Macaca mulatta: one gene and its partner. The protein of the gene in region 2 purifies or fractionates together with the protein of the main gene of each other region. This does not show direct contact. Links are inferred from orthologs where the notes say so. Each region holds a gene or a part of one and is shown on either strand. Other genes may lie near its edges.

The links.
Region 1: the proteins of ATP6V1A (region 2) and ATP6V1F fractionate together in Homo sapiens (co-fractionation; 3 studies listed by BioGRID and IntAct, with this or other methods). This does not show direct contact. The link is inferred for Macaca mulatta from reciprocal best matches to the Homo sapiens genes ATP6V1A and ATP6V1F.

Annotation. Positions count from the first base shown.
Region 1 is NC_133408.1:168,496,769-168,501,085, reverse strand, and holds the start of ATP6V1F (V-type proton ATPase subunit F), read right to left. Parts: upstream 2,802-4,317; 5' UTR 2,769-2,801; coding exon 2,611-2,768; intron 581-2,610; coding exon 497-580; intron 336-496; coding exon 134-335; 3' UTR 1-133. UniProt on the Homo sapiens protein: Subunit of the V1 complex of vacuolar(H+)-ATPase (V-ATPase), a multisubunit enzyme composed of a peripheral complex (V1) that hydrolyzes ATP and a membrane integral complex (V0) that translocates protons.
Region 2 is NC_133407.1:169,942,237-169,945,791, forward strand, and holds part of ATP6V1A (V-type proton ATPase catalytic subunit A), read right to left. Parts: intron 2,414-3,555; coding exon 2,199-2,413; intron 1,941-2,198; coding exon 1,803-1,940; intron 1-1,802. UniProt on the Homo sapiens protein: Catalytic subunit of the V1 complex of vacuolar(H+)-ATPase (V-ATPase), a multisubunit enzyme composed of a peripheral complex (V1) that hydrolyzes ATP and a membrane integral complex (V0) that translocates protons.

The DNA.
Region 1 (4,317 bases), on a different chromosome or scaffold from region 2:
TCACCTAGCCTCTTAATGGAGTGGGAATGGGCAGGGAATTGGAAATCAGAGGCTCAAAAAGTAAAGAAGGCTGATGGCAAGCCTGGGGAGAGGCCTGGAAACGAGGGAAGGGCTGAGGGCTGTGAGGAGTCCCCTAGCGCAGGTCTTCAGCAGTGAACATGCCCCTGGCCCTGCGCAGAATGGAGTCCTTGGCGGCGTCATATGGGTGCTCCTTGGAGGGGATCTCCAGGACAGCGGGGATGGAGTGCTGGTGGGCGTCCAGGGCATGCCGCACCATCTCTGCGATGTACTGGTTGATGAGGATGATGCCAATGTCATCCCGGTTTAGAAACTGCCTGTGGGGAGAGATGAGACGGGAGTCTAGGGCAGCTCTGGGGGCTGCCTTCTCTCCTGCCTCCAAGTTGTTGGGCTGGGCAGTGGAGGAGAATGAGTGTGACCCAGAGGGCACAGAGGACAAGGAGAAAGGCGGCCACGCTCAACCCTATGTCAACTCTACCAAGAATCAATTTCATCCCAAAGCGGAGGGTCATGCTGACTAGGGTTGGCTTCTGCAACGCTGCCTGAAACGCTTCCAAGTGAACTGGTAATGAAAATTAGGGTGCACACTGCAGTGATGGTGTCAACCCTATGTCAATATGCAGTGATGGTGTCAGAAAGGGGAAGGATAAGATTATATGTATACAGATCCTTTTTTATGTGCAGATACTGAAGGCCGGGTGCAATGGCTCATGCCTGTAATCCCAGCACTTTGGGAAGCCGAGGCGGGTGGATCGCTTGAACCCTGCAGTTTGAGACCAGAATGGGCCACATAGTGAGACTCCCATCTCTACAAAAAAAAAGAAAAAAAAATGTGTACATATATACAAAAAATTGGCTCGATGTGGCAGCATGTACCAGCTGCTTGGGAAACTGTAGTCCCAGCTACTTGGGAGGCTGAGGTGGGAGAATCACTTGAGCCTGGGAAGTCGAGGCCACAGTGAGCTGTGATCACGCCACTGCACTCCAGCCTGGGTGACAGGAGTGAGACCCTGTCTCAGAAAAAAAAAAAAAAAAAGGACACATTAACTTTTAGAAAGAAAACAAATTAATTTAAAAATAGGGCTGATGAGACCACTGAAGGCCTCAAGGTCTATGCTGATGAGGGTGGTGGAGGGGTCAGAGGGAAAGTCTGGCATGAACCAAGATCACAAGCTAGGAAGAGGACACTCTGATGAAGGAATCATACTTTCTGCCCAAAAAGAACCTGGCCTCGTGATCCTCCTCTCCTATGATCACCCACCCATTCATTCGTTTATTTTATTTTTTTGAGACAGGGTCTCCCTCTGTCACCCAGGCTGGAGTGCAGCGGCGGATCTCGGCTCACTGCAACTTCCGCCTCCCAGGTTCAAGCAGTTCTCCTTCTTCAGCCTCCTGATTTGCTGGGATTACAGGCACCCTCCACGACGCCTGGCTAATTTTTGTATTTTTAGTAGAAATGGGGTTTCACCATATTGGTCAGGCTGGTTTCGAACTCCAACCAGCCTGGCGGGTGGAACTCAGGTGATCCACCCGCCTCGGCCTCCAGAAGTGTTGGGATCACAGGCGTGAGCCACCGCGCCCAGACTCATTCATTTATTTACTGGTTAAAAATTATTTACTGAGCACCCACCCCCCACCAGTCACTGGGTTAGATTTGATCTCTGAGGTCCCTTTTGATTGGAAACATAAAAAATTCTTGAAGTAAAATTTGTCCTTCTCCCATGGTAACTTGGGTCACTTTACCAGACAGCTTAGAGATCGGCAGGTAACAGCCTACCAGGTCAGGAACTACCTAATACACCAGGCAGCAGGAACCAGTCTCAGCCGGCAGCCCTGGGCTGGACTGTTTGGGGGGAAACAGGTGAGTGGTTTATTCCTGAGACTTAGTACAGCGAACCTGAAGAAGGGGTGAGGGATAGAATAGGAGGCTGTTATCCTCAATTCAGGTCACCAGGACCCCTGGTGGATTAAAGGCATGTCTGCGCCCACACTCTGACCTAAGGCAGGGAGTGAGGGCTTGAGTGCAAGGTCTTAGCAGAAGGCTCTCACAGTCCTGACATTTTCTGCCTACTGTGCTCAAGAGCAAAGGGAAATTCCGAGGCCGACTGAGGAGAGCTGTACAGAGTGTGTACCTGGCTTACCAAAGGCAGAAAGGGTTAGGATTAGGTTCAAATTCCAGGTCTGCCTCTGCCCACTTGTAACTTTAGTGTGTGCCTTAACCTCTCCAAGCTTTAGTTTTCTCACCTGTAAGTAGGACAAAATCACCCCTGCCTTACCGGACGACGGTGAGCCTGTAAAGGAGGGGAAAGCAGAACAAAGTCCGAGCCCACTGCCTAGCCCGTCACGAGCTCTGTTCCCCTTCTTTCCTGACACACGATCATGTGAGGTGGGGAGCTCGTGGACCTGATACAGCGTCGGTGCCACCCAGCCCCAAACGGGAACTTGGGGCGCAGCGGCGGGCGGGCGGACTTTCACGACCATCCCCTAACCCCCGTCCGGGCCTCACGCCTCGGTCCCCGGGCCGCCTCCACCCTCGCCCCGCACTCCACCAGGCAGCAGAAGGGCCCGTTCAGGCCTCGCGCGCTACCGTACCGGAAAGTGTCTTCGATTTCATTGATTGTTGTATCCTTCTCCACCACCAGGAAATTGGGGTGGCGGTTCTTGTTAAGCTCCCCTATGCCGCCCAGCAGGAAACCAGTCACCGTGTCCTCGTCTCCGATGACTGCGATGAGCTTCCCCCTCCCCGCCATCCCCGCTGCCGGGCAGAGCTCACCCGAGAGCACCAAAAGCCGCCGAAGCCCCGCCTCCGCCGTACGGCTCCCCGTCGGCCCCACCCCCCTTCGGGCATGCGCAGTTCTCCGAGCCGCATTCCGGGACATGCGCATGAACAGCAACACGGCCTCCATGTGAATACGCCTGCGCCATAAAGACAGGCCCGAAGCAGGGGACTACGATTCCCAGAAGGCTGCGCGGCACCACCTCCTTCGCGGGCATTCATTCGTTCATTGACTCTTTCCTTGGTTCATTCGTTCAACAAGCGATTTGAACCTGGCGCTGTTTAAACGCCGAGATCCCAGAGAAGAGACGCAGTTACTGATCTCATCGGCAGGGTCTGGGTCTTTATCGTGTATGTGTGTACCTATGACACATATTTAACAAGTAATACGCATTTGTTCAATTAAAGGAATGCAGAAGTTAGTGATGATACTGTCTAGTGAGATGGAAAGTCAAGGGAATAGGCGACTACAGAGCTGTGTGTTAATGGTTAGAATGTGAAAAGTATATGGAAGCACACATCCATGGTAACTAACCCATGGAGAGAGGGGGCATCCAAAGAACCCTTCCCCAAGAAACTTGCTTCAGATCTAAGCTGAGACCTGAAGGACCTGCAGGATGAAGGGGATAGAAGTGAGGACAAGACGGTGTTCTAGGCAGAGGAAGAGCATATGCAAAGGCGTACTGACTAGAGAGCGTAGGGCCTTCAAGGAAAGTTAAAGAATTGGTAAGGCCAGGCATGGTGGCTCATGCCACGCCTATAATCCCAGCACTTTGGGAGTGCTTCCCTGATGGAGGAGGATTGCTTGAGCTCAGGAGTTGGAGACCAGCCTGGGCAACACAGTGAGACCCTGTCTCTGCAAAAAATTTTAAAAATTAGCCAGGTAGGCCAGGTGCGGTGGCTCACTCCTGTAATCCCAGCACTTTGGGAGGCCAAGGCAGGTGGATCACCTGAGGTCAGGAGTTTGAGACCAGCCTGGCCAACATGGCAAAAACCTGTCTCTATTAAAAATACAAAAAATTAGTTGGGCATGGTTGTGGGCACCTGTAGTCCCAGCTACTCGAGAGGCTGAGGCAGGAGAATTGCTTGAACCTGGGAAGTGGAGACTGCAGTGAGCCGAGATTGTGCCATTGCACTCCAACCTGGGCGACAGAGCGAGACTCTGTCTCAAAAAAAAAAAAAAAAAAATTAGCCAGGTGTGGTGGCGCACACTTATAGTTCCAGGTACTCGAGAGGCTGAGGCAGCAGGGCTTGCTCAGGAGTTCAAGGTTACAGTGAGCTATGATCAGGGCACTGCACTTGAGCCTGAGCAGCAGAACGAGACCCTGTCTGAAAAAAAAAAAAAAAAAAAAGGGATCTGCAGGCCAGGTACGGTGACTCACGCCTGTAATCCCAGCACTTTGGGAGGCCGAGGCAGATGGATCACCTGAGGTCAGGAGTTTGAGACCAGTCTGGCCAACATGGTGAAATCCTGTCTCCACTAAAAGTACAAAAAACATTAGCCCAATGAGGTGGTGTGTGCC
Region 2 (3,555 bases):
ACATTTTATTGGGAGAAAATTATATGCTATGATAGTCTTTTCAATAAAGTTATCTTCATACCCATAAAGATTACGAGCCTAATGTGTATTATGTGACTGTAAATAACATTAAAGGTCTAAGTTTTAATCCAGTGCCAGGCATGGATTACAGCTTACGCCTGTGATCCCAGCACTTTTGGGAGGCCAAGGCAGGAGGATCACTTGAGTACAGAAGTTCAAGACCAGCCTGGGCAACAGAATGAGATCCTGTCCCTAAAAAAAATTTTTTTAAATTAGGCTGGGCACGGTGGCTCACGCCTGTAATCTCAGCAATTTGGGAGACTGAGGTGGGCAGATCACGAGGTCAGGAGATCAAGACCATCCTGGCCAACATGATGAAACCCCATCTCTACTAAAAAAACAAAAATTAGCCGAGTGTGGTGGCAGACACCTGTAATCCCACCTACTTGGAAAGCTGAGGTAGGAGAATCGCTTGAACCCAAGAGGCGGAGGATACAGTGAGCAGAGATCACCCCACTGTACTCCAGCCTGGTGACAGAGTGACAGAGCAAGAGTCCATCTCAAAAAAAAAAAAAAAAAAAAATTAACCGGGCATGGTGGCATGTGCCTGTGGTCCCAGATACTTGGGAGGCTGAGGTGATAGAATTGCTTGAGCCCAGCAGGTTGAGGCTGCAGTGAGCTATGATTGCACCACTGCACTCCAGTCTGGGCAACACAGCAAGACACTGTCTCAAAAAAAAAAGAAAAAGAAAAAAGATAATTCAAATAATCTTATATAATATATATGATTATATAATAATAATAATTACATAATAATATATAATAATAATTATATAACAATTATATTATTATTATTTTTTTAGATAGAGTCTTGCTCTGTTGCCCAGGTTGGAGTGCAATGGTGCAATCTCAGCTCACTACAACCTCTGCCTCCCAGGTTCAAGCGAATTTCCTGCCTCAGCCTCCTGAGTAGCTGGGATTACAGGCGTCCGCCACCACGCCTGGCTAATTTTTGTATTTTTAGTAGAGACGGGGTTTCACCATATTGGTCAGGGTGGTCTTGATCTCCTGACCTTGTGATCTGCCCGCCTCGCCCTCTCAAAGTGCAGGGATTACAGGTGTGAGACTACGCGCCCAGTCCTATTACATAATTATTATGTGAATATTAATACACCATTAAAATCAAAGTCTATTCTATGCCTAAACAATTAGGGCTTTAAATAAATGTAGCATCAGTTAAGATGGTAGAAAACTGTTACATTTCTTTAAAAAGAAATACTATGTTCTGCTTTTTTATCCCTGAATCCAAGTTAAAAACAAACAAAAAAACCTTCAAAAATTATAGGAGTTACTCAAAACTTACATATTAAATATCAATTGTTTAATTACTTAGGGCACTAAAACTGGGCAGCTGTCATATAAAAATAGAGCCACAGGCCGGGTGCGGTGGCTCAAGCCTGTAATCCCAGCACTTTGGGAGGCCGAGACGGGCGGATCACGAGGTCAGGAGATCGAGACCATCCTGGCTAACACGGTGAAACCCCGTCTCTACTAAAAAATACAAAAAACTAGCCGGGCGAGGTGGCGGGCGCCTGTAGTCCCAGCTACTCGGGAGGCTGAGGCAGGAGAATGGTCTAAACCCGGGAGGCGGAGCTTGCAGTGAGCTGAGATCCGGCCACTGCACCCCAGCCTGGGCGACAGAGCAAGACTCTGTCTCAAAAAAAATAAAATAAAATAAAATAAAATAAAATAAATAATAAAAATAGAGCCACTCTGCAGGATAAAGTTCAAATGATACTTACAGAGGTATCATAATTCCCAGGTGGAGCAATATAAGTTACAGTTCCTCTGTTTCGTGGGGGTAACATGATTTTGTGTTTGATAAGCGAGTTCTCATTGACAATTCCATAAATGTCTCCGCCAGTGATATGACTACCAACCTAGAGGATAAATGTATTTGCTGTTTAATTTTCAAATAAATGTCAAGTAGACTTGCCCCTGCTGCTATAATTTAAATCATTTACCTGACTTATCAATAAAACATTAGTTCTAAAATCCCACAAAGTAGAGTTAAGAAAAAATTTAAACTATGCTTCTGTAGTCTATTTTTACTTGGACTAACAGTACAATGTAGTTTACTAAACATTCATTTTATATTCTTTCAAGAACTTCAGAAATTCTTGGTTACACAGACATACCCGTAGGTTTTTGCAAGGTGTAAAGTCCCATTTGATATCTCTGCTAAGAGCAGACACATTTACTCCTCTGGGGATGTAGATGCTTTGGGTCTGACTGCTGATATCCGACAAAGGTCTTTGAATACCATCAAAAATGGCTCCCATAATGCCAGGACCAAGCTCTACAGAGAGGGGTTTACCAGTGCGAAGTACAGGATCTCCAACAGAAACACCAGCTAAAAACAGCAGCTAAGGAAAACCTATTATGAAGGTTTAAAGACACTATTAACAGGAAATACCACAGTTTAACAAGGAAATGCCACTCAAGAAGTGAAAACAGAAGTTCCCAAACTTTCTCAGTTCACAGGATTTGTAGTGTTTTCAGTAATTTTTTTCAGTGTCCCAGGACAAAAGATATATCTAACACTTGCATTTATTAAATAGTTATGTCTAAATAACCTAATATGTATATATGTACTAACAACTGAGTAGCAATTTGAGAAAAATATATGCATAAGTTGAAAAAAAAAGAATATTAATTTCAGTTCTAAATATCCATAATTCTTATGAATGTATATGCCCTTGGGGAACTATATAATTTTCCAATCTTGGAATCAGATTGGAAACCTGTTCCATTTTGATTTTCACATTATACTTGCTTTTGTAGCTTAGCAACTGCCAAAAACTCAGCTTTGCAAAGATATGATATCACTGACAAAAATATAGTACAGCAACATAATGAAACTGTTTATTATCTCAAGCTACTAGTTCATGTGGTGTCTGACAATATGTCTAACATTCCTGTGTTTGCCTCAAAAATTTTAAATATCCTGGCACCACATGAGTTTGCTGCAGCTTCTCAGAATGCCTCTGCAAAGTTTGGAAACCACAGGGCTAAAAATAGAAGCAAAACCCTCTCGTTAATACATTGCTTCACATATACGGCTAAGGAATCAGTCCCCTGATAAGGGTATTAGTACTGGGACAAAACCTAAAATCTTAAAAATAAAGTTATTTTGAAAACATACAAATAAGAATAAAACATATAAATAAGCATAATGAGTCCACTTTATTCTCACACATTTGTTGACAGGAGTAAAATCAGTACAACTTTTCCTGAGAGCAATTTAGCAATATTTATCAAAATTCAAAATGGGTAAGTCTTGACCTAGGAATCCAACTTCTGTGAATTCTTACTATACTTACACTGTAGCACTGTTTATAACAACCAAAGACTAGAAACCAAAACTTCTATCATTAAGATATTAAGTAAATAATCGTACATTTATATGATGGAATTATTATATGGCTGTAAAAAAAAGAACCAGAGTTATCATGAATTCCTCTAGAAATATCTCTAAACTATGTATTTTCATTT